4 linked regions of the Stegostoma tigrinum genome follow. The protein of the gene in region 1 binds, or shares a complex with, the protein of each later gene. Links are inferred from orthologs where the notes say so. Each region holds a gene or a part of one and is shown in the gene's direction. Other genes may lie near its edges. The genes, in order: cript, sf3b5, snrpd1 and plrg1.

Region 1 (7,930 bases):
TTGATCTGACAAATTAATCTTATCCTTGAGTACTGAACTTATGTCAACTTAATTAACAGTGATGCCACCACCTTTTTCATTGCTTTCTCTCATCATTATATGTCAAAAACTCTTTCATATCCAGCTTAGGACACTTTTAAAGCAATTTAAAAGCCGCAAATTTATTCCAGGACTATTATATTCTCATTACCGTAGTTTCTCATCTGGTTTTGCATATATCATCTAGCTTCTCTTGCATCTAAGATCCTCAAATGCACAATTCTCAACTTGAAATCAAAATTTCAAACTCAAATTCTCAAATGCAAAAATAAATACACAAGGTACATTACGTTCTGTATAAGATATACAGCACAGAAATTTAGCACTCTACTTCATCTAATCCTATCTGTACACTCTTCTATTTTGTTTTTCCATATACCCTTACTAGCTTTCTTTTAGAAGCTTTCAAGGTGTCTATCTCAAATGTTCCACATCATAGCCTATTTAAACAACTCTCTGGCTATAGAAATTTACTCTGAATTCCTTACTTGATTTATTAGAAGCTACCTTATATTCATCACTTCAAGTTTTACACTGTCTCTCAAATAAGAACATTTTTGTTACAACCACTGAATTAAACATCTTTGTAACTTTAAGGACATCACTAAAGTTACCACGTGAACATTGTCTGAGTTAATGGCACAGCCTTATTTAGCTTTTCCTAATAGGTTTAATCCCTCAGTTCCGGTATTATCTGTGAGAATCATTTGTGCAACTTCTGTGTTTCAATTTTTTTTGCAACATAAATGTCTAACCAAGTTTCTGTACAAGTTTAACTACTTCTGTCTGCTTTTAAGTTCTATTCCTACAACAGAAATGAACACCAGTGCTTTCATTGTTTAATTTTGGTTTATTTAAATGTCTTTGTTGACGTGATTTGCTACTTTTAACTGTATTGATTCAAGTGGTGTACTGATAGGATTAGACGAAGGAGAGTGGAAGAAGACGTATTGACTTAATTGTCCAAGATGCCTGTATATAACAGTTGCTACATTCCTTGCATTTACACTTAACAGTCATCCACCAGTTTCCAACATCACCTGGAAAATTGAGCATGTTAAAGAGATCAGTCACCTACAATTTCTTCTCAACTAAAAGCCATAAATACCCTTTCAGAATGAAACTCTTGACAAAATTCCAGTTAATTGTATACTTACACTAGAAGTGGTGCTCCATATAAAACTAAAATTCCATGAAATACTATACAGGATATAAAGAACAACAGACAGGATTTGAAGATCTTTGTGACCTGGAAAACAATATATGAAAATACAAATTATTTCACACTTTGTATTAAAACCGAATATCAAAAGAATATGAAACATCCTTCACGATCTTACCGTGCCACTGGAGGAATTCTTCCTGTTGGAGGTAGGATTCGTTGCGAGCAATAAATACAAAACAATGGTCACAGCAGCAACAGTGGCAGAGCAAACACACAACCATTGCAAGTGGGTTCCAATTACAGAAAACTCGTCCAAAAATAAAGAAGGGGCCAAGGTAGAAAAAACGATAGACAGGACCAGAATAATATGCGCCGAAAACATGCCTCTTAACTCAAAATCCTTCATGTTTTTTCCTTGCTTTGTTACCGAATCGTCTGTGCAAAATGTTAGCGACTACTGCCAAAAGTAACACATCAGTCTTGTACTGTCACTAGCCTTCTCAGTCAAGTGATAATTTGTAGTATTTTTGCATCTGAAATCTCCCTTTCCCTGGTTCCAGTCGGGCCTCTGCACACCCAACCTTACCCACCATCACTCTCTCTCTCTCTCTCTCTCACACACACACACACACACACACACGGTACAGGCGGAAACATCTTGGAAACTGGCAACATCATCCTACCAATCAGACCCACAGCTACTGTCCATTCGGCAATTTTAGGCCAATCATTTCGAGAGGGCGGGACCTCTTACGTAAGACGTTTGCGATACAACGTTTCGACGTTGGAATGGTTACATCGACTGGGCAGGTAGCTAGGAGCCAGGTATATCCAGGGGAGGGAGTGGCTGGGGTCAGGTGGCAGGTAGCTGGGAGCCAGGTGTATCCAGGAGAGGGAGTGGCTAGGGTCAAGCATATCTGTGGGGAGATGGCAGGTAGCTAGGAGCCAGGTGTATCCAGGGGAGGGAGTGGCTGGGGTCAGGTCTATCTGGGGGTAGGTGGCAGGTAGCTGGTTGCTAGGTGTATCCAGGAGAGGGAGTGGCTGGAGTCAGGTGGCAGGTAGCTAGGAGCCAGGTGTATCCAGACGAGGGAGTGGCTGGAGGTAAAATAGTATCAGAGATAATGGGAACTGCAGATGCTGGAGAATCCAAGATAATAAAATGTGAGGCTGGATGAACACAGCAGGCAAAGCAGCATCTCAGGAGCACAAAAGCTGACGTTTTGGGCCTAGACCCTTCATCGGAGAGGGAACTGGAATAAATAGGGAGAGAGGGGGAGGCGGACCGAAGATGGAGAGTAAAGAAGATAGGTGGAGAGGAGAGTATAGGTGAGGAGGTAGGGAGGGGATAGGTCAGTCCAGGGAAGACGGACAGGTCAAGGAGGTGGGATGAGGTTAGTAGGTAGATGGGGGTGCAGCTTGGGGTGGGAGGAAGGGATGGGTGAGAGGAAGAACCGGTTAGGGAGGCAGAGACAGGTTGGACTGGTTTTGGGATGCAGTGGGTGGGGGGGGAAGAGCTGGGCTGGTTGTGTGGTGCAGTGGGGGGAGGGGACGACTCCCTACCTCCCCACCTCCCCACCTATCTTCTTTACTCTCCATCTTTGGTGCGCCTCTCCCTATTTATTCCAGTTCCCTCTCCCCATCCCCCTCTCTGATGAAGGGTCTAGGCCCGAAACGTCAGCTTTTGTGCTCCTGAGATGCTGCTTGGCCTGCTGTGTTCATCCAGCCTCACATTTTACTATCTGGAGGTAGCTGGGAGCCAGGTGTATCCAGGGGAGGAAGCGACTGGGGTCAGGTCTTTCTGGGGGTAGGTGGCAGGTAGCTGAAGTAGTTTATTTAGGTGGTGTTCATTTGGGGACCAGATTTGTCTGGTGGAGGTTGTGTTGAAGGGCAGCTAGTGTTATTCAAAATTAAGCTGTGTTTCAGGACTGGGTGTACCTGTGATAGTTTTCTCCAGATTAGATTTAATTGGGGGTCAGTATCCAGGGGAGGTTATGTTGATGGGAGAATGGCAGGTATCTGCGATAGTTCTATCCAGAACAAGTTCTGTTGTAGGCCAGGAAGAATGTGCTTGCAGACGAGGTGGTACAAAGTAGGTTCACCACAATGCTGCCAGGGCTGGAGTAGTTTAGCTATTAAGAAAAGCTGAATATGTTCAGGTTGTTTTGTTTAGAGCACAGAAAGCTCAGAGGGGACCTGAAATAAGGAGTCTAAGATTATGAAGGCTATAGATAAGGAAGATGATAAAAGCTATCCCCTTTAGTTGAAAGGTCAATAACAAGAAAACATAATTTTAAGAGAAATGGCAAGAGGTTTGGAGGTGATTTGAGGAAACTTTGTTTAACCAAAATTGGTGGAAGTCTTGAGTGTAGTTAAGCTGGGGAAATTCACAATCTTTTAAAAAGTACTCAAAATGTCATTTAAAAAAAGGTTGTGGGCTAAGTGTTTAAAAAGTGAGTCTAGTGTAGATTTAGAATAGATTTTTGTTAGTGCAGACACAATAGGCTGAAAGGCCTCCTCCATACTGTATGATTCTATGATGTGTTGGAGGCCAGCATTAGTTTTATCATGAGGATGTTGTGTTGTGTTGTGGATCGGTGTACCTGAGGGCATACTGGCACACAGACAATTAAAGCCCTGAATCAGCACTGCCACAGTTGGTGAGGGTCAGCACATAGGATAATGGAAATAAAAATACAAAATGACATACTGTTCAGGTGACATTGCTGGCAAGTAGAACAGTTAGACATGTTTCAAGTGTAAAACTTTCCTGTTCCTCTGCTGTCTGGCTTGCTGTGTTCCTCCAGCATCTGCAATTCTTGCTATCTCATGTTTCGAGTGAATTCTAGTTTCTCCACCAATGCTGCCTGGCTTGTTGTTTCCAGTTATTATTAACTCAATGACTTCAGTAATGTGCTTTTAGAGAAGTTAAATTATTGCATTAGACACATACACATTTACAGCACAGCAGTAGGCCATTTAACCCTGGAGGTAAAAATTCAGTGTAAACTATTGATTAGGGTCATGTAATTTTTTTAAAAAAAGTCTGGAAACTAGTTTTAAATTGGAATTGGTAAAAGATTTTTAAAAAAACTTTGTCAATATGGATAATGATGGAATAGTGTAGGGGAGGGGCTTAGATTAGTTCACGGGTCAGTGCAACATCAAGGGCTGAAGGGTCTGCTCTGTGCTGTATTGTTTTATGTTCTATAAATACTGTCCACAGTTTTAGGTGTGAGTGAAATGTAGCACATTGGAAAGAAAAATAAATTGGCAATTTAAGACTCTAAGCCTTAGCCATGGCCAGAATTTCATAAACTTTAAAAGCATTTTCATTTTCAGAACTGGATCCCAGAAGCATAATTGTCACATCTCAAATGCAAACACAGAATTTAAAAATAAACGTATGTAACTGTGCTCCTAAAAACCGTTAGCTTGTTCTAAAATGTTTTAAAATATAAGCGACCCACATTGGGACAAAAACCGGATCAGACATTCAAAGCAGATAGTTCTGACACCTCCAGGTGGATCTTCACCCTGAGAAGCAACTTCTAAACCCAGCCAGAATTTCTTAGTACAACACCTTGCTGGGATACTTCTCGTGTTCTGTTTCTTAGCAGTGTGGTGCAGGTTAATAAACTTAGTTTGTATGAAACATTTTCCTGTAATGATTACTACTGGGCTCCCAGGCATATCCACAGCAGACCTCAGTCTCTGCTCTGGAATTGCACTAAGACCCGGGAGACAACTTCCGCTTGAGCTGGTTTGTTGCCGGAAGTGGGGGCCGGTGGCGGTGGAGGATGGTGTGTGAGAAATGTGAGTGGGGACAGGGACCTGGGTGTGGGCTCGGGCTGGCTGAGGGTTGGGGGTGAGGCCGCTCACATTCACTCACTCAGGCTGTGGCCGCTCCAGACTGGGCCCCGCTCCTAGCCCCAGACTCTCTCTCGCCTGCCTCTCCGTTTCCTTCGCCCCCGTCCTCCCTGTGGGCTCATCTTATCCGGAGAACCACCTCGTCTCTCCCTATTCCCAATGAACTGCTGACCACCCTTTCCTAGCGCCCCCCCCCATCCTCCACTGACCCTCTCCTTCAAATATTCTGTCCCTCCCATCGCCATCATCACATAAAACAGGAACAACAGCAGAAACTGTTGGAAAAGCTCAGCAGGTCAGGCAGCAACTGTGAAGGGAAAAATAGAGTTAGTGTTTTGGGTTTAGTGGCCCTTCCTCAGAACAAAGGAACACATAAAATATCACGTATAACAGCTCTGACATTGTCTCTTTGGTTCCCCAACCCCATTACGTTAGTATTGTATCAGAGGTAATGGGAACTGCAGATGCTGGAGAATCCCAGATAACAAAGTGTGGAGCTGGATGAACACAGCAGGCCAAGCAGCATCTCAGCAGCACAAAAGCTGATGTTTCGGGCCTAGACCCTTCATCTCTGATGAAGGGTCTAGGCCCGAAACGTCAGCTTTTGTGCTGCTGAGATGCTGCTTGGCCTGATGTGTTCATCCAGCTTCACACTTTATTACCCATTATGTTAATTCATGTGTTTTCTGTTATTAAAGCAGTGATGAAAGAATAACTAGGAATCTTGTATTTAAAGGGGTGCTGGACTGCTCTAAGGGTACTAATCTGAGTGTACAGGTCTCTTAAGCTTTGTAATCAAAAGTTCGTATCCTTAGTATTATCTAATTCCTGGTAAATTAATGTAATTTTTTTTATTGTTTTCTCTAGGTTTATTTAAGTTATTGCTTATTGTTTTGTTCTTGTAGGTGAAAAGAAGTTGGGAAGAGTTATTACACCAGATACTTGGAAAGATGGATCAAGGAACACGATGGGTACTAACCAAATTCAGTTGCTACATAGTTGCATATGGATTTAAATTTTTTATACTGATTTGGAGCGTGCCATTCTAATTTAAGTTGTAATGCATTTTAACAGAAAGTGGCGGCCGCAAGATCAATGAAAACAAGGTGTTGACTTCTAAAAAAGCAAGGTTGGTATAATACTGAGTTTTCAAAGATAGTGTCTGTAAATGTGGAAGATACATGTGAGTTTCTGCAGGTACATGCAACGCTCCAGTAGCTGAAATGACTGGCTGTGTTTATGTATAAGCTTGGACATTGAGAGCTTCTGATTGCTGTTGTCATTAGCGTCATAGTAACTTAATCGTCATTGTGCAAAAATAGTTCTTTCATCAGAGATTTCTGGGTAAAAGTTTGGATTTTGTCTGTTTATCGATTAATGGCAGTGATCCGACTACTAGATTGACTGAGGTTAGCAAACAGCCTGGTCTAAGAATTGAACAAGGGACTCCTGTTAGATTACTACTGAGTTTATTTAGAATATACTTTTATATTTTACTTAAATTATGATTTTGAGAAGCATTGCGGCTTGAACAGTTTTGTAATTATATAACTTTTGTGGGGGGGGGGGGTGCACTTGCAAAACTGGTAAAAGGATTTTAAATTTTAACCTAGTCACAGAGTTGTATAGCATGGAAGCAGACTCTTTGGGTAAACTTGTCCATATTGACCATATATCCTAAATTAATTCATTCCCATTTGCCAGCATTTGGCCCATAGACATTTAAACCCCTCCTATTCATATACCCATCCAGATGCCTTTTAAATGTTGTAATCATACCAACCTCCACCACTTCCCCTGGTAGCTCATTCCATGCACGCGCCACTGTCTACATGAAAATGTTGCCCTTAAGTCCCTTTTAAATCTTTCCCCTCTCACCTGAAACCCATGCCCTCTAGTTTTGGACTCTCCTAACCTGTTGATTTTAAGTCATTTGTAGATGCAGCGTTGAATAATTTCATAAATGAATGGAGACTTAAGAAATGTACGTTCTTAAATTGTTCACTTTCTTTTGATTTGTTAAAAATCTGTTTTTCCACATTATATGTTTTATCCAATAACAAAAGGTGCAACGTAAAATTCCACACATACATTGTGACACCCATTTTTATCTCACTACATCACTCTTGACCACCTTGACTACTGCTTCACAGATTTATAAAATTATTGCAGTGCAGAAAAAGGTCATTCAACCCATTGTATCTGCATTCCCCCTCCAAATTAGCATTTTACTTACTGCCTATCTAATATCCCAAATAAACTGCACTTTTAGAATTTTGAAAAGACTATAGCCATTTTCTTTGACCCAGTGTGATAAATTTGGTTTTCTTTCCTCTGATTCTATCCCTGTCACTGACTACTGTATCTTGGCATTCTACATGACTGAATGAGCTTCTGAAATCATATGCGCTCATCATAAGGACAATGTAATATTGGCCTCTGCTTCTGCCTCAACCATCTGTGTTCAGCTTCTCTAGACCTACTGAGCTCCAATAGTGCTGCACCCGTACAACTTTGACCTTGCAGATCTCCCATTTCCTACTGTTAATAGCATTTTCACTTGTCACTGAGGCTTTAACCTGTTTAAATATTTTCCAAGATGTCTTTGTCTCTCATTCTTAAAAATCTATCTTAACACCCTGTTGACCAAGCTTTTTGTCTTTTCTTTTGATATCTTCTTTGGGTCAGTGTAGTTTTTTATCCAAATGCATTCTGTGAACCGCCTTGGTAAGTTTACTTAGTTTATGGCGTATACAAAGCAAAGTTGTCATTTTAGACTTTGCAAAATATAAGTCTGCTATGACACCTACTTCTTTACAAAGGCAATCTCCCAAAATTATCAACATGCATTTATATAGT
Region 2 (7,088 bases), about 26 Mb from region 1:
CTGCCTTTTTCCCATAGGCCCATACTATTTATATCCAAATAACCACCTGGTGCCCTTCATAGGGTCTGTGCAGACTCGATGGGCCAAATGGCTTCGATCTGCACTGTAGAGATTCTATGATTCTACACCGGCTTCTGCAGGACAGTGCCAATTTGACAAATACCCCAGGTGAGGTCTAATGGGTGCGTTTTCTCCATTCAATCATGGGATGTGGGTGTCACTCACCAGACAGTGTTGTTGGAACTGCACCCATCCAGCCAAGTGGGGAGTATTCCAGCATATTCCTGACTTGTACCTTGTAGCTGGTGGATAGACTTTAGGGAGATGAGTTATGGCTGCAGTGTTCCAAGTGTCTGCCCTGCCTTTGTAGACACTATGTTTATGTTGTGAGTCCAATTCAGTTTCTGGTCAATGATAACACCAGAATCTAAGGTTTTGGAGTAGATTTGTAGCTCGGGTTGTGGGTGTTGAGGTTGGTTGGCTCGCTGAGCTGGTTTGTTGTTCTGCAGATGTTTCGTTACCGTGCTGGGTAACATCCTCAGTGCAGCCTCTGATGAAGCATCAGTGTGTGTTTTCCCGCCTGGCTTTTAAACTCTGGGTTCCGTTGCGATGAACTGCCTCACTTCCGGGTTTCCTCCGCAGTAGAATGTATATGGGGTCAAGTTCAATGTGGAGTGCCATGGAGTGCCAGGCTTCCAGGAATTTTCGTGCTTGACTCTGCTGAACCTGTCCCAGCATCTTGGTGTTGTCCCAGTCAAAGATGGACAAGGAGAACCACGACTTTGACTCTCACAACTCTCTATAATTTCTTTCAGGCTTAGGCAGAGCAGTTGCCATACCAAGCTCTGCCGCTTCTGGTTGGGATGCATTCTATGGTACTTCTATAAAAATTGGTAAGAGTCATTGTGGACATGCTGAATTTCATTAGCCTTCTGAAGCAACAGAGGTGTTGGTCTGCTTGTTTGGCCAGCATCAACATGGATGGATGAGGATTGATCATTGGTGATATTTACTCTTAGAACTTGACCTTCTCGACCACCTCCACATCAACGCCATCGATACAGACAGTTGCCTGCCCTCCACTCTGCTTCCTGAAGTCGAAGACCAGCTCTTTCATTTTGCTGTTATTGGGGGAGAGATTGTGGTCTCCACACCATGCCACTAAACTGCCTATTTCCTTCCTGTACTCTGTCTCATTGTTGTGTGAGGTCCAACCCACTATAGAGGATTATTGTGGAGGGGTTGTCACCTATCCTCACTGATTGCAGTCTGCAGGTCAGGAAGTCAGGGATTCAGGTACAGAAGGGAGAGCAGACTCCTAGATCTTGGAGCTTGGAGATGAGTTTTGTTGGAATTATGGTATTGAAGGCATAGCTAAAGTCAATTAACAGGAGACTGATGTAGGTGTCTTTATTATCTAAATGCTCCAGGGCTGAATGTAGGGCCAGGGAGATGGTGTCTGCCATGGACCTTCTGTGACAGTCGGCAAACTGTTGTGAGCCAAGGCAATCTGGGAGGCTGAAGTTGATGTGAGCCATTACTAACTTCTCAAAGCACTTCATGATGATGGATGTCAGAATCAGTGCAGCAGTCATTAAAGCACATGACCTGATTCTTCTTTGGCACCAGGATGATGGTCATCTTCCTGAAGAAGGTGGGAACTCACATCATAGTAAGGAGAGGTTAAGACGTCTGCAAATAATCCCACCAGCTGGTCTGTGCAGGATCTCAGTTCACAATCAGGGACCCCATATGCACCAGTCATTTTCTGAGGGGGTAACTCTCAAGGACACAAAGAACAAAGAACAAAGAAACCGACAGCACAGGAACAGGCCCTTCGGCCCTCCAAGCCAGCGCTGATCAAGATCCTCTGTCTAAACCTGTCGTCTATTTTCTAAGGGTCTGTGTCCATTTGCTCCCTGCCCATCCATGTACCTGTCCAGATACATCTTAAAAGATGCTAACGTGTCTGCGTCTACCACCTCCGCTGGCAACACGTTCCAGGCACCCACCACCCTCTGTGTAAAGAACTTTCCACGCATATCTCCCTTAAACTTTCCTCCTCTCACTTTGAACTCATGACCCCTAGTAATTGAATCCCCCACTCTGGGAAAAAGCTGCTTGCTATCCACCCTGTCTATACCCCTCATGATTTTGTAGACCTCAATTAGGTCCCCCCTCAATCTCCATCTTTCTAATGAAAATAATCCTAACCTACTCAACCTCTCTTCATCGTTAGCACCCTCCATACCAGGCAACATCCTGGTGAACCACCTCTGCACCCTTTCCAAAGCATCCACATCCTTTTGGTAATGTGGCAACCAGAACTGTACACCGTACTCTAAATATGGCCAAACCAAAGTCTTATACAACTGTAACATGACCTGCCAACTCTTGTACTCAATACCCCGTCCGATGAAGGAAAGCATGCCATATGCCTTCTTGACCACCCTATTGACCTGCGTTGCCACCTTCAGGGAACAATGGACCTGAGCACCCAGATCTCTCTGTGCATCAATTTTCCCCAGGACTTTTCCATTTACTGTATAGTTCGCTCTTGAATTAGATCTTCCAAAACGCATCACCTCAAATTTGCCACTGATCTGACATCTGCAGTGGTGACTGTGAGTACAGGTGATCCCGAGATCGTCGGGACAGATGACATCATTTCACTAACCTGTTGTTTAAAATGAGCTCACTGGGGAGAAATGTATTGCTTTCAGAAATTGTACTCAACTTTGCTTTGTCGCCCCTTAAATCATGTAAGTCTTGCCAAATTCAACATGTGTTTCTGTGGTTAATCTGGGACCTCTGGTTTAGTTCGGGTGTTGTCTCTTGGCATCCTTGATGGCGTTTTGAAGATTTTATCTAGATCTAGTCAGATCACACCTGAATACTGTTCAGATCTTGTTTCATTTGAACACCGACTGCTTAGAAGTGAGGAGTTGTGAACAGTGCTGAACATTGTGCAATCATTCCCAGTTCTAACCTTATGATGGAGGTAAGGTCATTGATGAAGTGGCTGAAGATGGTTTGATTTTTATTGCAAACGAGTGGCAGTTCTTTATTGCACCAATGTAGGTACGCCTATTCATGATACTGATCAAGGGTGGCACAATGGTTGGCATTGCTGCTTCTCAGTACCAGGGACATCGCAGTGTTGAGTCTGCACATTCTCCCTATGTCTACGTAGGTTTCCTCCAGGTGGTCCGGTTTCGTCCCACAGTCCAAAGATGAGCAGGTTAGATAAATTGGCCTTGCTAAATTGTCCATAGTGTCCAGGGATGTTGAAGGCTAGATGGATTAGACATGGAAAATGCGTGTTTATAGGGATAGGGTAAGGGGATGGGTTTGGGCGGGGTGCTCTTAAGAGGGTCCGTGGTGACAGGACGTTGGATGCCTTCAAGGCAGAGATCGACAGATTCTTGATCTCACAAGGAATCAAGGGCTATGGGTAGAGTGCAGGAAAGTGGAGTTGAAATGCCCATCAGCCATGATTTCAATGGCGGAGTGGACTTGATGGGCCGAACGGCCTTACTTCCACTCCTATGTCTTATAGTCTTATGGACTCGATAGGCCGAATGGCCTCTTTCTGTACTTTATGGATTCTATAAAAATCACTAACTGAAATTTTATTTTATTTATTATTGTTACTCCATGTATCTGGCGATGGACCAAAATTAGTCGCTGCAATGCAATAAATTGAGAGTGCAATACCACATAGCAGCGGTCCTCCGATCTAGGGGGCACCTGGTGGTGCTAAAAGCATCAGTGGGGCCTCAAACCCGGCATCCAATGCGCCTGCGCGTCAATGTCTATCAATTTAATAACGCCGATTTGTTAAAGAACCGATTGTTTTATGTCAGAACCAAGCATACGATTGTCAGTATTTCTTCGGTAAGCGTTGTTTTTTTATTCCAAAAAATAACTGTAAAGGTCGCCTGGTAGGGGGCGGAGCTCCAACGCAGGCGATTGCGCAACATCGTGTAAACATTTTTAATAGCCCTAATTTACCAAGATTTCTCTTCACATGAGACAAAATCACAATTTCGTCCCGAACGGTTACTTTCATTTAATTGTACCTGCAGCTTCCCGGAAAGCCACGTGGCGGTAACCCTGGTAACGGCGGCCATGTTAGGTTTCCTCCGGCGGGCGGTTGACGGTTGGGATTCGAATCTTTTTTCAAGCGGAGAGCCGGAGCCGCGATGACGGACCGTTACAACATCCACAGCCAGTTGGAACATCTCCAGTCCAAGTACATCGGCACCGGGCACGCCGACACCACCAAGTGGGAGTGGCTCGTCAACCAGCACCGCGACTCGTACGCCTCGTACATGGGCCACTTCGACCTCCTCAACTACTTCGCCGTGGCCGAGAACGAGACCAAGGCCCGAGTCCGCTTCAACCTCATGGAGAAGATGCTACAGCCGTGTGGGCCCCCGCCCGACAAGCCCGAGGAGGCCTAAGAGGGCCTTGGGGGGGGGGGGGGGGGGGGGGTTGCTGGGGTGCGGTGTGGGCGAAGGGTGAGGATTAGATATGGAGATACGAGATGTGGGGTAGGGTTGTGGATAGGTGAAGGGGATTGGGGGGCATGGCTGTGGATAGGTGAAGGATGGGATGGGGTGGGAATGGGGATGGGAGGAGTATAGGTATGACTGGGTGAAGGGAGTGGAGTGTGGTATAAGTGTGGTTGGGTGAAGGGGATATAGTGGGAATTGGGAAGATACAAGTGAGTATGTGGGGAGGAATGAGGATTTGGGAGCTATAAGTATTGATGTCTGGTGGATTTTTGGGGTATAGATATGGTAATGAGTGTAATTAGGTGCAGGGACATGGGTGGAGGATAAGGAGGGAATATGGGGAGTGTGATTGCAATATGTGTGGAGGTATGTGGTGGATATTGTTGGAGGAAGAAGACCATGTATGGGGTATACAGTTGGAGGATAAGAAAGATACCATAAATGGGATGGTTACAGGTGTAGGCTGGGGGAGTGTGAGATGTTTAGAGGTTGGGCTGTGGCTGGACAGTTGGGTAACAGGAGGGATTTGGGTGAAGTAAGTGGCCTATTGGTGATTGAAGGGAGATATAGGTGAAGTACAAAAGAGACTTGGATGGTTGGATCAGAAGTGCATACCTGTGAAGGCTGGGTTATGAGGATGAGCTGTTCTATGGCTATTGAAGAGGAGTGATGAGAGTTTAGGGTACAAATGTTATTTGTGCTCCATTTTCCCTCCAAAACTTGGACTTGAATTTTGGCCCTCCCATTTGCCATCAGCACATCCAAAGTCGTTGTCAATGACTGAGGGATTGATCCAATCCGCTTCCAAAATGGCATCATTCCTGTACACAAATGAAAGCAAAATACTGTGGGATGCTGGAAATCTGAAACTAAAACTGAAAATGCTGGAGAAACTCAGCAGATCTGGCCATATTTAAGGGGAGAGAAACAGCTAATATTTTAAATCCAATATGACTTGAAGAACTGTACCTGGCCCCCTCTAAGTGGATCCACCTTTGCCTTCCCCAGCCAGTCAGGTCGTTTTTCAGCCACCCTCTTCCGCTCTACAATCAGCAAAGGAATCCACCACCCATCTTGCTCCAGCAGCAAGGGAGTCCACACTTCTCTTGGGGGCTCTGCCAGCACAAGGACATGCATTTGATTTAAACTTTTGTTATTCATCTGAAATATCATCTTGCTTTACAAAAGCAAATGACTTTTTTGTTGAACTGAACTACTTTATAGATAAAATGGTCACTGGCCACAAAAAGTCTACTGTAAAAATGGCCAGTCCATCTGACTTGCTCTCACAAGTGAAACTTTGTCACTGTCAACAGAAGGGAAATTTCACTGTTTCAAGATGTTCTGAACACCCATCCAGTGAATTACTTGTGATTTGCACTCACTTTGGCAACATAATCTTGAGCAACCGAGGAAAGGAATCTTACAAAGACTATCTGCTTTCTTCCCCAGTTAAATGGAATGGTCTCCATACACCTCCATCAGTGAGGAGCTCCCTGCTTGACTTCACCTAGGAGGTTGCTGCTGATATTGAAACCGAAGCCCACTACTGTCACATAGATCTTAAAGAAGGATTACAGAAGTACCCAATGTTCACACGGATGGTTGCTGCACGGAAAAACTCCCAAGAATGAATTGCATCGTAAATGGTATATGGGGTGCCGTACGGAGTAAAACTATATGAATCTACAGAGAGCGTTGATAACCTCTCCCCAACAACTGAACTATAGAAAAAGCCATTATGTTGGCAAGTGTTTGGATAAGTGGTTGTCAACAAAGTAGAAAGATTCCTTGAAACCCATGCATGATAAAAGCATGGCAGCTTTATATTTTTTATTTAAGGGGAATTTACTTAGAATGTTACTGATTTTAGAAGGATTGAAATTTTGGAAATAAAGAGAAACCCATCAAGTGATTTTCCTAAAACTTGGTGATTTATTGGATAATGTTCCAGGGGATTTTTGCGAGTGAATGGAGTAATGTTTTAGCAGCGATTGTTCAGCAAAATCAGAAACCTGCTCAACCATGACTAGGTCACTTAGAAAATGTCTCATTATTCAGAAGGGAAGGTTTTGTACCTTTTTTGTGTTGCCAGTTTATTCCTGTTCTGTTTTTGCTGGGCAGTACAAACTGTAATTCGTAAACAATTTGGTTTAAACTGGAGAAACAAAATATTTTGCTTTAAATGTATACCATTACACTGATCTGTGGCTCAATAAATGGACAGTTTTTTTTAATACTTTAGTTGTTTTGATTTTTTGTTCCTCTGAAATGTGAGATAACTAGGTAAATAGATGGTCACGGTCAAAGAGCACCGAATTTACAGAACACAATCTTTTGTCCTTATTGTGTATGTTTTAAATATGTATATGGATTAGAAGCAGAAATAAGCCATTTGGCCCTTCAAAATGTGCTCTGCTGTTCAAAAAATCATGGTTGAGCTGTTCCATTCTTGCACACATTCATTTACATTCTCAATATCCCAATTACCTTAGCCTTCTTGCCGAACATAAATCTAAAATGCCTTAAAAACATTCAATAGCCCTAACCTACTTCACCTTCTGAGGC
Region 3 (7,325 bases), on another chromosome or scaffold:
GGGATGGGGAGGGCAGGGGTGGGGGCTTTTCACATACGGTAATGGTTCAAATCCAGCAAGCCTATTACTATTCCAGTCAGCTTGTCTGCGTGTGTATATATAATTATATATAGATATCATGAAATAGTAACAGAGCAGTAACATATCTGTGGAATGAGTTATTATTTCCAGATTTTAAGCTGTTAAGTTCAAAGTTTTGTAGAGAAGTTTGGAAATCAACTTGCTGCATGCCCTCAGTCCTTTCAGTCCGGTGTTTAAACCTGAAACCGCTTTGACATCTGTCTGCATCCTAATAACTCCTGGGGTAAGGGAGCTTTGATGTACATGCAAAACTGTACAGCGAGTTTTAGACAAACCTGGAATTTGTATTATGTTACAGAATTAACTGTATATTTTGATTTTCCTGAGTTGTGCATTATTTTCATTTAATGACAGTGTAATGATATACTTGAAGTCCTGTTCTTTTTCTAATTTTTACATTTGCTTGTGCAGCTCTTCCATTTGAAGTATTATACTTGGGTGTTATCAAACTGTTAAAATACTCAGTGGAATTGTTTTCTGGCTTTTGTTGCTTTTGGGAAACAATGTACTCTAATTCACCCTATATTCCCCTGAATAGTGCCTAGTTTATCCATTCATATTTTTTAATACCTTGAAATATCACTTTAAATTGTCCAAATGGGGATGAATGCTACCGTCTGTTTCATTATTAGAGACATACAAATTGGGATTAAAACTAGAGCAGAGCAATGAATTTGCAAAATGCCTTTAAATTGTCACGCAATCACTGATACAGAGGGCAATTCAATCAGTGTATTTTGCAGATTGAGATCAAGAATTGTCTTTCAGAATTGGAACTACAGTAGCTGTCATAAGAGATTAGTTCAGGTATTTACAAACGGGACTGGGCTGGGAGCAGCTTCTATTTATACAAGTGAAACTGTTGTCAGTTTTCCAACTATATCCATTCCATTGCCCTATTCTGTATTATGTTCCTCCTCTTTTGGAGTAATAAATAAAATGATATACAAATAAAGATTTTTATTGTTTATTTCTTCATAATATTAACTTGAATTCAGCGTGCTACATTTGGACAGTAAAGAGACTTGGTGTAATGTTCAGTTCTCTTGTTTATTTGCAGTTCTTTCTTTAAAATCTGTCATTCTATGTCCTGTATATTTTAAAAATCTTAATTTCAGAATAGCCAGCTAAATGCTGTTTTGGCAGCATCTGACAGGACAGCAATAGATTTAGCATTTTGAGTCGAAGAGCCTCAGTCAGAAGTCCTAATTCATTGAACTGAAACAACATTACTATATTGTAAAAAATAATTTATGGAGAAGTTCAGCAACATCTGTGGAGAGAGAAAAATAGCTCATATTTCTGTTTTTCTCACTTATCTTTCAGTTCTTCCAGCAGGTGCTGGAAATCTGAAATACTTCATTTTGTGTTACTAATGAGTTGCTGCAACCTGGGGGATCTGCCACCTGCATTCCGCTGTTGACTCTACAACTATGTGGTTTAAATTCCTGTATGAATTGCTCTCACTTGAAGCAGAGTATAACTTCTGTAATGAGCTGCACTTCTCAGTTTTCCTGATCAGCACTGTGCTAGCTGCTGTGGTGAAGTACTTTTGATGGGCTGCATTTTAAATTACTGTCCAACATTAGGCAGAATGTGATGTCTTATCCCATGTACTGTGAATGAAACAGAGCATAGCCTCCTAAAAGGTTAGGTGTATCTACATAGCTTCCCAGGGAACATTTCAGATTAAGAACCCACACTATTGTTACACCAGTTTTTTCACTGAATCACTACAGTGTGGAAGCAGCCCATTTGACCCATCGAGTCCATACCAACATGGTGGCACACTGCTTTCACTGCCTGTACAGGAAGAAAATTCCAAAGCTTCACAATCCCTTGTGGGAAAGAAAATCTCAATTTCTGTTTTAAATGGGGAAACCCCTTATTTTTAACCTATGACCCCAGTTCTAGATTCTCCCACAAGAGGGAATGTTCATCCGTATCTGCCCGGTCAAGTCCCCCACTTGTATACTACACTCATGTCACAAAGAGAAATGAGAGTAAAATGTAATAAGTTTTGTCATTACATAGGAAACTTCTGAAAGAAAGTCTTTGAGTTGATAGAGAATGTTTTGGCTTGAAACTGTGTGGCTTGGAATTGAAGTTGCAGGTGAAGTTGTTCCCATGTATCAGTTGCCCTTGTCCTTCTAAAAACCAAAAGAACTGCGGATGCTGTAAATCAGGAACAAAAACAAAGATTTTGAAAAAACTCAGCAGGTCTGGCAGCATCTGTGAAGGAGAAAACAGAGCGAAGGGTCAATGGATCCGAAACGTTAACTCTGTTTGCTCCTTCACAGATGCTGCCAGACCTGCTGAGCTTTTCCAGCAACTTTTTGTTTTTGCCCTTGTCTTTCTATTGGATGAGAGTTTGGAAGGTGGTCTCTGGGGATCTTTGGCTTTTTTTTTGCAGCACATCTTGTTGGCCCACTTGGAATTGGGAATCAAGTTCTATTGTCAAATGAACTCTACTAGAGGGATACATTACAGTGAAAAGTGTACAAAGTCGCCATTTTCATCTTAGATGCAAAAGTGCCGAGATACAAGTTAGAATAAAAAAGAAATAAAGTTAAAGTTCAGCATTACAGACTTTCTAAAGCGGGGAAAGAGAGCAAAAAAAAACACAAGTCTGTGCTGGGTTCACCCTGATGCTGGTGGCGCTCGAGCGAACACTGTGACAACTCGCCAGCTCTCCGGGGTGGGAGATAAATAGAAAGAGGGAAAAGAAAGCATGAAAAGAATAAAACAGACTTGGTGGACGAGCTCTGGTCTGCCAAAGTCTTGGAAAGTGCTAGCCAAGGAAACCTTGTTGATCTCTTTTTTTTGTTGCCCATCTTGCAGGCCAAATGTAAAGCATGTATCAGCAAACATGACTCGGTGCAAGTACAAAGAAGAAAGGAAATTACAGCACATTCGGCCCTCCCAGCCTGCGCCGATTGCGATCCTCTGTCTAAACCTGTCATCTGTTTTCTAAGGCTCTGTATCCCTTTGCTCTCTGCCCCTCCATCTACCTATCCAGATACATCTTAAAAGACACTTATCATGTCTGTGTCTACCACCTCCGCTGGCAACGTGTTCCAGGCACCCACCACCCTCTGTGTAAAGAACTTTCCACGCATATCTCCCTTAAACTTTCCTCCTCTCACTTTGAACTCATGACCCCTAGTAATTGAGTCCCCCACTTTGGGGGGGAAAAAAGCTTCTTGCTGTCCACCGAATCAATACCTTATGATTTTGTAGACCTCAATCTGGTGCTGTTTTGACTATATTGGAATTGAGAAAATTGTTTGAAAGGGAATATTTGAAAACTGCACTGTTGCAAAAGGGCATTGGAAATGACAAGTTCACATTCAGTGGAAGGTCTATGATGCTCAGGACCAAAGCTTCTTATCCAAAGATGTCAAAAGTAAAGAAAGGCTGAAAATGACTACTCTTGATTTTGTTTTCAAAGAATGGAAGCTATTTAAAATAAAAATACTTTACACTGCTTATAGAAACATAGCCTACTCCTGTGATTATAAAGTGTGAAGCTGGATGAACACAGCAGGCTAAGCAGCATCTCTGCCTGCTGTGTTCATCCAGCTTTGCACTTTATTATCTTGGATTCTCCAGCATCTGCAGTTCCCATTATCTCCTCTACTCCTGTGATTGATTGTTTTCTATTTGCCCCTTTGAGCCTGCACTGCTATTCAATATGACCACGCCATCTCAGTATCCCACTCTGGCTTTCTCTCCATACCCCTTGATCCCTTTAACTGCAAGGGCCACGTCCACCTCCCTCGTGAATATATCTAATGAACTGACCCCGACAGCTTCCTGTGGGAGAGAATTACACACGTTCACAACTTTGAGTGAAGAAATTCTTCCTCATCTCATTCCTGACTGGCTTACCCCTTACTCTTAGACTGTGAACCCTGATTCTGAACTCCTCCCCAACGTCAGGAATAATCATCCTGCATCTAGCCTGTCCAGTACCAGCAGGATTTTGTGTTTCTATGAAATGCCCCCATTCTTCTGAATTCCAGCGAGTGAAGGAGGGAGACTCTGTGCTGTAAAGTCTGGTCTGATTTTTCTGGGCGGGGAGTTATTTCCATATTTTATTAAAGGGGGCAGTAGGGAGCACCTGCAAACGCCGTTCTTCATTATCTGGCTTTCTGCGCATGCACCGTCACATCGTCCAGCATTCCGCGCATGCTCAATTGGAAACGGCCGACTCGGCGCCCAATTAGAGGAAACGGCTGCCGGCGCACTGCGCACGCTCAGTAGTAGGAGCCGGCTGCCGGCCTTCCGCGCATGCTTATTGCAGGGCCGGTTGTGGCGCCTCCATTCCGCGGCCCCGGGAACAATCTGCCTCCATCATGAAGTTGGTCCGGTAAGAGGAGGCATCGGAGGCCGGGGATGGGTGGACCTGGGCCTATACCTACCGAAACGGAGGGTATGGGGAGGGGAACGGAATGGGAGAGACTCGGTGCGAAGGAGATGATGGAGAAGTCGCGGCCCAGCTCAGGCCTGGGGCCTAGTCAGGCTGCACCGGCCGGGGTGAGGCTGCGGGAGATCTGGCCGCAGGCACGGGGCCAGCCCGGGGCTTCGAGGCCTAGGATCCTGGAGAGGTGGTGGGTGAGGCTACAGTCTCTGCCCTCTCCTAGGATTTACAGTGTGGAAGGAGCTGCTGCTGTTCTGATTGAGCACCTTGATCATGGATCAGACTCACTCAGCTCTCCCTTTGTCTGTAATCCAGTTTAAAAAGCATTTAAAAATGGACAGCGCTTTCATTCTTAAACTAATCTCTCTGATTTGACAAAGTCCCACTGTTTGATTTGAGAGTGCATCACTTCCCCACCCCCCCACTTCCCTTCCCCATTCCCATTGCTGTACATCCAAAGGGTTCAGTGTCTCCCACACAATAACCATTCTACCCTCTTTCCTCTCAGACAACACTCGTGGTTAGCCAGAATTGTCTGTGGTCTCACTCACCCACAGTTGGACAGTTGCTCAGTGAGGACAGAGATAATGGGAACTGCAGATGCTGGAGAATCTGAGATAACAAAGTGTGGGGCTGGATGAACACAGCAGGCCAAGCAGCATCTTAGGAGCACAAAAGCTGATGTTTCGGGCCTAGACCCTTCATCAGAGAGGGTGGTGGGGAGAGGGTTCTGGAATAAATAGGGAGAGAAGGGGAGGCAGACTGAAGATGGATAGAGGAGAAGATAGGTGCAGACGAGAGCATTTGTGCTCCTAAGATGCTGCTTGGCCTGCTGTGTTCATCCAGCCCCACACTTTGTTAGCTCAGTGAGACTGTTGGCCTTTTCCTCCACACATGCGCCCAGTCTTGCACCTGCCCTTCCTGACGATGCCCGTGACAGGGCGAGTGGTCAGCCAGAGATGCCTGTTTCGACTTCCGAGCATACAGTAGTCACCGTGACAACGCTGCCTCCCTAACTTCAGTGGTGCCAAATGGATGGTCAGCAAGCACTGCCCATCACACATTCTTCACTGTCTGTGTCTGGTTGGCTACAACTCCTGGATGAATTGTGATTTTGAAAGGATTGTGAAGTCTGCCAATGCTGATTCTGTCCCGGACCCCTGTCTTAGAGTTATACATTACAGAAACAGACCCTTCGGCCCAACCTGTCTATTCTGACCAGAATCCCAAACTAAACTAGTCCCGCCTGCCTGTGCTTGGCCCATATCCCTCCAAACATTTCTTATTCATGTGCTTATCTAAATGTCTTTTAAATGTTGCTTCTGTACTCACATCCATCACTCCCACTGTCTTTTTTAAATCACTCTCCCATCGCCTTAAAAATGTGCCCCTAGCCTTGAAATCTCTCACCCAGCGAAAAGACACATGTCATTCACGTTAGTTATACCCTTCATTATTTTATGAACCTCTGTAAGGTCACCTCTTAATCTCTTATTTTCCGGTGGAAAATATCCTAGCCTATCAACCTCTCCTTATAATTCAAGCTCTCCATTTCTAGCAATATCCTGGTAAATCTCTTCTGAAGTTTCTCCAGGTTAATAATATCCTTCTCATAACAGGGAAACCAGAACTGTTCACAGTATTCCAGAAGCGACCTCACCAATGTCCTCTGCAATCTCAGTGTAACATCACAAATTCATTCTCAAAGACTTGAGCAATGAAGACAAGCTTGTTAGATGCCTTCTTAACCACTGTATCTATTTGTGATGCAAACTTCAAAGAATTATGTACCTGAATCCCTAGGTGTTTCTGTTCTACAACACTGTCCAAGGTCCTACTTTGAATTATATAAGTCTTTGCATTTGTTTCTTTTATCAGACTGCAGTGCCTCATGTTTTTCCAAATTAAACTCCATCTGCCACTCTTCAGCCCGTTGACCCAACTGATCATCTTTGTAACCTTAGATAACCTCCTTCCCTGTCCACTATACCACCAATCTTGGTGTCATCCACAAACTTACTAACCATGTTTTCTACATTCTCATCTAAATCATTCATATAAATGACAGACAAAAATGGACCCAGGACCAATCCTTGTGAAGCACTGGTCACAGGCCTCCAGTCCAAGAAACAACCTTCCACCATCATACTCTGCCTATGCAGTTAAGCCAACCTTGCATCCGTTTGACAAGTTCACCCTGAATCCCATGTGATCAAACTTTACTAATTAGTCTACAGTATGGAACCTTTTCAAAGGCTTTACTAAAACCTGCCTCTCATTCCTCAGGTTGTTTCTCTAGTACGGAACAAGGAACTGCAGTGTATTGTACTGGGTTGATGTAGTTTTGGTTCTCAGATTCTAAATCTTCAGTCTTGATGTTATTGTGATGTGGTGTTCCTTCTCTCTTTATCCATACGTTGTAAGTAATGAATTTTGTGATCTGCGCTGATATGGGGGTTAATGTGCTGATGTGCACCAGCAGCAGAAACAAAGAACCTACATAAATTTAGATCTTTAACTGGTTGACATTGACATGGAGGAATAAAGAATATTCACCCCCCCGACCCACCACCCAAGTAATGTGCAAGTCCACAAATTAGCAGATCTGTTGAATTCTATTTTGCATACAAGTGGTAGAATTTGAATTTTAATTTCTTGCATTTTAATCATCCGATACAAGGAAAGTTGAATTGCCATAATGACGCAAGAGACGGCAAGGATCTTTAAATTCATTGGACGGGGTGGTGGAATAATGGAAATATCACTGGACTAGTAATCCAGAACCTCAAGCTGACGTTCTGAGGATGTGGGTTCGAATACC
Region 4 (7,676 bases), on another chromosome or scaffold:
TACACTGAGCATCCCACTCAGGCCCATTTCCCTATAACCCACCTAATCTACACATCCCTGAACCCTGTGGGCAATTTAGCAAGGCCAATCCACCTAGCCTGCACATGTTTGGACTGTGGGAGGAAACTGGAGCACCCAGAGGAAACCCACGCAGACATGGGGAGAATGTGCAAACTTGTTACAGACAGTTTCCCAAGACTAGAATCGAACCCGGGTCCCTGGCGCTGTGAGGCAGCAGTGCTAACCACTGAGCCACCGTGCTGCCCGATGTTAGCCATTTTTTGAAATAAGTTTCATTGCTAATTTGTACCTATTTTCCTTTTCAATTTAATTGTTCTGGTGTCTAAGAAATTGATGTTTGTGTATTACAGCTTTGAGTTTAATAGATGGTTGATTGGGTAGATTTATGAATTCTTCTAAGAATGCTTCAATGTGTATCTAAATATGCAAATTTCAACATATATATACATAGAAGGAATCGTTACTACATGACTGCATCACTTAATAAATGAGTTAGCGAGAATGAAAAATATTCTCTGTAAACAAAATGTAATCTCTGAAAGTCAAAATGTAGCCCTTAAAAAAGGATATGAAAGGAAAAGTTCATGTTGGTGTGGGGCCTAGAAACAGAAGCAGGACCAGGATTTCTCTTTCTAGCCCTGCTGTTGAGCCCATTTGCTATGCATTAGTATGACTGCAGAATAGTTTGGGATGAGCTCACGTTTGGAGAGAGTGGTCAGTGGGTGGCTGGCCAGAAGAGCACTGGAGTAGGATGTAATAAAGGTATGGTGAGTGTTTTAGCTGTAGGGGTTTGAAGGCAGGGACACGTGGTGAAGTTAAAGTGGTGAGAATAGCTGGTTTTGTGTTAGAAAGGATAAAGGTGGAGGTTCACGTGCATCCAGTAGATCATAGAGGTTTGATACAATCTCTTTCAGCCTGAAAGAGTGGTCTGGAGTGAATTGAAATTGAAAATGGTGGAATAGAGGTTATGTTAAAGGCTGAAAACAATGACTTCAGTCTTAGTGGTGTTTTCTACAATGAATCAAAACTCATTTGAAACTGCATGTTATACAGACATTATGACAACATAGAGGAGGTGGAGGGTTTGACAGAATTGGTAGAGATGCAGAATTAGGGGTCATTCATGTTTACTTAGAACCTGATGGTTTGTCTTTGAGTGATGCTACTGAAGGACAGCATATGGATGAGAATTAGATGCTGAAACCAAAAGATACCCAGGGAGTCTGAAGTAACAGCCTCCTCCTTTTATTTTCATTATGTAGTTCCTGAAGAACCATCAGGATTGCACATTACAGGAGGACTTGAGATTAAACTTTGACTCGCTGTAAATGCACTCCTAGTTAAAGAAATATGGATGGGGATATATGGTAAAGGCAATTGAAACACTATATAACTAACAGCATAAGAGAATTTTGTTTACAAAAACGTTCCAGTGACACACTATTCTAAATACTTAGCTTTCTCAACATTTGGTGAGGCAATAAATTAAAATTGATTGGAACACAGGAATAAATGGACTGCTATAGTTTTGATTGTAAGCAGCACTTGAAGAGAAGGTAACTGAAAACATAAGGGGAGGAAACCTCTTTGATCTATAGTATAATGCTGACTGTATTAGTTTCACTCTTGTAGAAGAGCTAAGATAAAATGCATCTATAAAGCATCTCTGGTGACCTCAAGATGTCCCAAACAGTGAGACAAATAACCAGATAACTATTTCCTTGACATTGGTTAAGGGTGAAGTTGTTTCCTACATTGTTGAGGCAGCAACTTTTACTGCTCTTGGTAGATGCAGTACAATCTGTCTGAAAACTCAGAGCATTTGTTTTCTTTTGCAGCAAATCAATAGGGAACGGAAACCATCTTCAGTCTGATTCCCAGCTGTTATGAATGATCTTCTCAATTTGTTCGTTGCTTGAAGAAAGAATGCATGCCTTTTACTGATCAATAAAGATATTTTACAGGAAATATTAGACTGATTATGTTCTTTTTATTGGTATTTCAAAAGAAAGGAAGAGGTGGCAGTTTTGATCAAAGACACTGTTTAGCACTGAAAAGGGATGATATACTTGATGCGCCAATGATTGAATAAATACTTGAATAAAATTGCTATGATTTTGGGAAAGAATGTGATTGTGGCATTACTTCGATAATTCTTTCAAAAGAGCTGACAAACATGTAATGAGCTCATTAGCCTCCTTTATGATTACATTTTGCACTCTAAGTAGCTGAAGCAACAAAATTAAAAATGATAAATGTTAAACCACGATGTAAATAATGTGAGAGCTCTTGAAATTCTGCTAGGTAATAAATTAGAAAAGTACTCTTGATTTAATCTTGACTTAAAGTCGATCTGCCATTCCTCCTCCATGCTGATTGAGCCTTGAAAGGCTAATTTTCTTTGAGAACCATTCCCTGCCCTTTCTCCACAACCAGCAGAGCCTAATTTCTTGCCAGTCTCTGAAGTCTTACACCCATGAGTTTGTGTACTTTATGATCATATATCATCACTAAGATGAAACATTTGAATATTTGTTGCATTAACCTTGCATTAAAGGTAAAAGTTGCTGTGCTCCTGGGCAGAAACAACTAGTGGAGGGTCACCACATCTCAGGTGTGGGGAGAGGTTGGGAAGAAGAATATTTCATAGTAGCCTCAGCTATTGTGGTAATTGAAACGCATCGCCAGGTCACAGACCAGCCAACAGAGCAAAACCAAGCCCTTGGCCTTGGATAATGAGAGTGATGTTTCAGTAGCTCAGGCACAATAAGTGCAATTGGAAACTGAAATAAGTCCTTGAATTGATATAGACTGGATATTGGAAAGTAGGATTGTCTTTGGAGTCTATCATTAACAGAGAGGAACATTCAGGAAGCACTAACATTAGGATTCTCCACGAAATAGAGAATAACAAAATAGGGTTGACGCTAGAAATGGGATAGAAATACATATAAAGTATAATATGGAAGCAGACTTTTAGGCTCACACTCTCTATGTTGGCAGTTACCATCAATTCAAGCAAGCAAACATGTTTTGGTCAGCTCTAGCACAGGAGGTTAATGGGTCAGGTCCAACTGTTGGGGGGTCAGGTCTGCTGCAGTAGCAGATGGGAAGGAAGTGAGTCAGGAGGTAGGTGGTGTGTTTGTGTGGGTCCAGTTTCAGAGCATGAGGGGGTTGTTGTGGCATGGGGCTCAGATTTTGTCCGGTCTGGCAGAAAGGAAGGGAGAGCATGTCAGCTGACAGGTGATGAGGTGTCAGGTCAGGTCTCTGGTGCAGGAAGGAGGTCAGGTTTGGATCTGAAGAAAAGCGTACAGGTCCTGGGGCAGGTGACAGGTGTAAGATGTCTGGTAAAAGTGCCTTCAGAGATGTGTACGTAAGAAAGGGGTCTGTTAAATGGTTACTCGGAAGTTAAAACTGAGTCAGGTCCAGCAGGAGTTGAGATATTTCAGGTGGGCTAGAGGTCAGGCCCAGGTTGTGTCAAGAGAATATAGGGTCAGGTCCATCAGGGTTGGGTCACAGGGTGGAGCCAGAGCTGTTAAGAGTTGGACCGGTTCAGGACGGGATGTAGAGTTGGGTCTGGTTCCCATGGAGCTGTCGAGTCTGGCAGAGAGTGGGGTGTGGTTGCATTGTGTGACATGGGTGTGTTAGACCTAGTGGCATTCAGTAGTTGGGGTAGATGCTGTGCTGGGGTGGGGGTGTGAGGTATGCCAGGGGTTGCAGTGTTGTTGTTGTGGGGCTAAGTTTAATAGTCAGGCTTTAACATGGGTTTTTAATCTACCATTTCCTGAGTGAATATTAAGCTTAAATGAGCTCTCACAAGTCTGGAAGATTTTTTTTGACATTTCCAAGGGGAGACAATTATTCCTGGGAAATTCAACTTCCCAGACAATTCAGAGGCCGCTGCACTGATCATACTGTATGGTCTCCGTGCAAGTCCCGTTTGCTTTGCTCTCTTAACTATCTGACCATTGTTTGGAGTGGGGGGGGGGGGTAGAGTTGGGGGTGGGAGAAATTGTTAATATTTTAAAGTCTAACTGTTCAGCATTTATGACACAAATCTGGAGCAAGTAGGATTGAAATAAAACTTACTGGAGAAACTCAGCAGGTCGGGGCAGATCAAACGGCGGAGCAGACTCACGCCGAATTTTGCTCCTGTATCTTACCTTATAACAGCATCTGTGGAGAGAAAGCAGACTTAATGTTTCGAGTACAGTGGCCATTTTTCAGGAGTCAGAGATTTGAACTCTAGCCTTCTAGTCGAGAGGTGGGGACACTATCCCTGGCCCACTGGAACCTTCAGAATAATGTATCTGCTATAGTATCATATTGTGGCATGCTGCAAGTCCTGTTAAGAACTCATTTGAAAATAGGTACAGCCGAAAGCCTGCAGCACTGTTGATACGGTGATAACAAGATGTGGAGCTGGAGGAATAGCACGCCAGGCAGCATCAGAGAACCAGGAAAGCTGACGTTTCGGGTTTGGACCCTTCTGAAGAAACTGCTTACCCTGCCGTGTTCCCCCAGCTCCGCACCTTGTCATCTCAGACTCCAGCGTCGGCAATTCCTACTCTCCGTGGCTGTTGATACGGTGTACGGCCGCACGGAGTAAGTGGCGCTGTCGCTGGCGGACAGACAATCGCATGACAGGGCTTCTCTTTGTTATCCGTCCGTCTCCGGTTGGGAAGTGAAGGCTGCTGTTGCGATTGGGGAGACCGGTCACTCAGGAGGGCGGCGGTTTCTGCTTGGGATCTGGAGCCCGCTTTTTAAAAAGCGGTTCGAGTTGCAGCTATGGTGGAGGTGGGCGTCTTTGGGTTATGTTCAGGATTCAGTAGGAGGGAGTGTGGATGTGTCACTGTTCTCGGGCTGTCGGCCTTTGAGCCGCCAGTTGCTGGGTCTGAGCGTTCCGGCCTGGCCGCCTACCCCGCACAATAAAGCAAGGAAGAGGGTGGACCCCTCTCCAGGTGCCGAAGGAAATAGAAAAGGATGATGTTGGGGAAGCTTTTCCTGTTTGAAGGAAAGGAAGTTGACGTGATCTACAAAGTTCCCATTTTATAGTAAAAGTAAAATGCATGCTGGTTAAGTACAGTATAACTTGCTTACCGTCCCTTACTAGCTGGCATTTGTTCATTCAAAAACAATAAAGGAATAAAGATGCAGTGACCTCTTATCTTGCATGCCTTTCTAAATTATTCAGCTTTTGGCTTTAATCAGTTGTATAATTACGGAAAGTTTGCTGTTGCGATTTCTTTTCTCCCCCTCCCCATTTATCTGTTTCTCGTTGCAAATTAGAATTCGTCTCAATGAGTCTTGTTTTGTACGCCCGTGTATATGTGATAAAACTTAAACATTCCAACCTATCTTTGTTAATATAGAGGAACGCGTGGACTGTCAATGAAGTGTTTAGAATTTATAGAGATGAAACGGAGTAGCTGGTAACTTTGCATATTTGAGATGTGCGGAATGATGGAGAGTGGAAGATATGACTTACAGGAGGCTTATAAAATTATGTAATACAGTATTCAATAAAGTAGGCACCATAAATGTTAATTAGGAATGGGCACTTGTGAGAAAGTGTCAAAGTCATGTAGGAAAATACATTAGAATAGAAATTAGGGTGCACAATCAGAACTGCTCATTTTATGGAAGGGCATCTATATGAGATGAATTTCCTGTTCCTGTGTAATTTCTAATTTTCTCACTCCATGACTATTCAAATGTGTAATCCTGAGATAAACTGTCAAAATTCTGGAAAATTTATGCTACTAGCCTACTATGTAAATTTTTCATTATGAGGGAGACTTTCCATTGGTACCATTTCCAATTAACTTTTCTGATCTTGCTGCAGTATGTTTGAAACTTAAGTTGTGAATTCCATCAATTTGTTAATTGGTGTTTTATTATTGAACAACTTTAATATACCCATGTAATAATTAGGGATAACAACCTTTTAGTGAACAAGTTGACAGAAGACTTGGTATAAATATAGCTATAAATTATATGCTTGATAAGAAATGTGTAGTCATTACCACAAAACACGAGGTGGTGACATGAAATGAGCATTGAATTTTAGTTTCCTTCACAGAAGATATATACGTTAAAGCTTAAAAGTTTAGAAACTTTTCAAACAAAGTTACAATTATTTTAGACAACATATGAAGTGGAATAAAGTTTTAGGTCTTCAGTTGACCTGCATTGTACACTGTTACTCATCTGCAGTCTACTGTCATGAGAGAACTTGAAAGTGCTGAATATTCAAAATAAAGCAACAGCTATTTAAAATAGAGATGAGGAGGTTTTATCTCTAGGGGTTTGTGACTCTTTCGAATATTCTACTGAGGAGCACTCTGGATTCAAAATCATTGACTGTATTCAGGGTGGAGATACAGTCTTGAACTACAGAATGGTGGGGTCAAGAGTTATGGGAAATGAGATGAGCCCAGATCAGAGCAGCCATAATCTTATTGAATGGTGTAGCAGGCTCAAGAGGCGATAAGGCCTTCTCCTACTTCTGGTGTTCTTATGAGCTGCAATGTGTTTTGTTTCTGTGCTTTAATTGTATGTAGTGCTTGTTAAAGTCAAGAAAGTCAGTGGTGGGGAATGAATTTCAATTGCCCTAGAACACTCCAGTGATAGTACTGAGCATTTTCAGGTTAGCTACAGGATGATCAGGAGAAGAATAAAGCTATTTTTGACACTACTCCAGCATGCTTAACTTTAACAACAGAATCCCAGAAAGTGAGAATGTAATGGTTTGATGGTGTCTGGTCTCCAGGATGACTGCCATTCTCACCAATTGTGGATACCAATTTCCTCTGTGAAACATTTTCAAGGGCAGGTGGAAGTGTTTTGTGATTTGGGCCTACTGTCACTAGAAACTGCCCTGCACGTGTCATATGGCGATTCATGTGTTTTATTCTGTTTCCAAGAGTAAATGTCATTGTGCTGACATACTGTTTCACTTGGCCCTATGAAAACATTTCTTGAAGTGCCTTGCAGGATATCTTCTAAGGTTACATGGCATGTTGAAATGTGGAAATATAGAAAGGATCAGTGTATTTTGTTTAGCAATTCCACCTACTATGTCATTGTTTAGTTCAATTTAATTATTTGATTAGTTGTTACAGAATTGGAAGTTCATACATAATTCAAAATTGTTTTTTTTCTTTTTGGCAGGAGGTGCAGAAACATTCTGTACACACACTGGTGTTCAGATCCCTGAAAAGAACCCACGACATGTTTGTTAGCGATCATGCTAAACCTATTGCAGTAGATGAGAAAAGGTGAGTGCTTTAGTTGAGCTTGCCTCGTAATAGTTGGTTACAGAATGAGTATCTCATCAGATACAATGCAAGGGGCCCAGCTTCATTACAGCCAGTGTCAAAGCCTCAAGTGTTTTATGTCTGGCATATAATACTTCCAAATACTTCAACCTGTGTTATTTCCCATTGCCATATTTTCATCTTGTCTGCTGAGACCACTTCTTATTTGTAATAACTTGTTTATTCTTACTATGACCCTGCACAGCTTTCACTCTGTTGTCCAAATCCACACGACTCCCCAGGATCAGCAATATCGTCTGCAGGCATCCCATCAACTTACATACATGTGGCATCCATACTCTGCTGTATTGTCATGCCACTTCTCTGTATTCCATG

The links.
Region 2: cript (region 1) and sf3b5 share a complex: the UniProt entries of both Homo sapiens proteins name them as parts of the minor spliceosome. The link is inferred for Stegostoma tigrinum from reciprocal best matches to the Homo sapiens genes CRIPT and SF3B5.
Region 3: cript (region 1) and snrpd1 share a complex: the UniProt entries of both Homo sapiens proteins name them as parts of the minor spliceosome. The link is inferred for Stegostoma tigrinum from reciprocal best matches to the Homo sapiens genes CRIPT and SNRPD1.
Region 4: cript (region 1) and plrg1 share a complex: the UniProt entries of both Homo sapiens proteins name them as parts of the minor spliceosome. The link is inferred for Stegostoma tigrinum from reciprocal best matches to the Homo sapiens genes CRIPT and PLRG1.

What each region holds. Positions count from the first base shown.
Region 1 is NC_081362.1:68,477,514-68,485,443, reverse strand, and holds the start of cript (cysteine-rich PDZ-binding protein), read left to right. Parts: upstream 1-4,925; 5' UTR 4,926-5,001; coding exon 5,002-5,017; intron 5,018-5,976; coding exon 5,977-6,042; intron 6,043-6,145; coding exon 6,146-6,200; intron 6,201-7,930. Other genes in the region: pigf (phosphatidylinositol-glycan biosynthesis class F protein), read right to left, coding at 1,197-1,288, 1,380-1,610. UniProt on the Homo sapiens protein: As a component of the minor spliceosome, involved in the splicing of U12-type introns in pre-mRNAs. Involved in the cytoskeletal anchoring of DLG4 in excitatory synapses.
Region 2 is NC_081362.1:94,718,313-94,725,400, forward strand, and holds sf3b5 (splicing factor 3B subunit 5), read left to right. Parts: upstream 1-4,088; 5' UTR 4,089-4,205; coding exon 4,206-4,466; 3' UTR 4,467-6,757; downstream 6,758-7,088. UniProt on the Homo sapiens protein: Component of the 17S U2 SnRNP complex of the spliceosome, a large ribonucleoprotein complex that removes introns from transcribed pre-mRNAs.
Region 3 is NC_081355.1:7,631,920-7,639,244, reverse strand, and holds the start of snrpd1 (small nuclear ribonucleoprotein Sm D1), read left to right. Parts: upstream 1-4,318; 5' UTR 4,319-4,439; coding exon 4,440-4,453; intron 4,454-7,325. UniProt on the Homo sapiens protein: Plays a role in pre-mRNA splicing as a core component of the spliceosomal U1, U2, U4 and U5 small nuclear ribonucleoproteins (snRNPs), the building blocks of the spliceosome.
Region 4 is NC_081354.1:53,942,227-53,949,902, reverse strand, and holds the start of plrg1 (pleiotropic regulator 1), read left to right. Parts: upstream 1-4,672; 5' UTR 4,673-4,809; coding exon 4,810-4,818; intron 4,819-7,194; coding exon 7,195-7,301; intron 7,302-7,676. UniProt on the Homo sapiens protein: Involved in pre-mRNA splicing as component of the spliceosome. Component of the PRP19-CDC5L complex that forms an integral part of the spliceosome and is required for activating pre-mRNA splicing.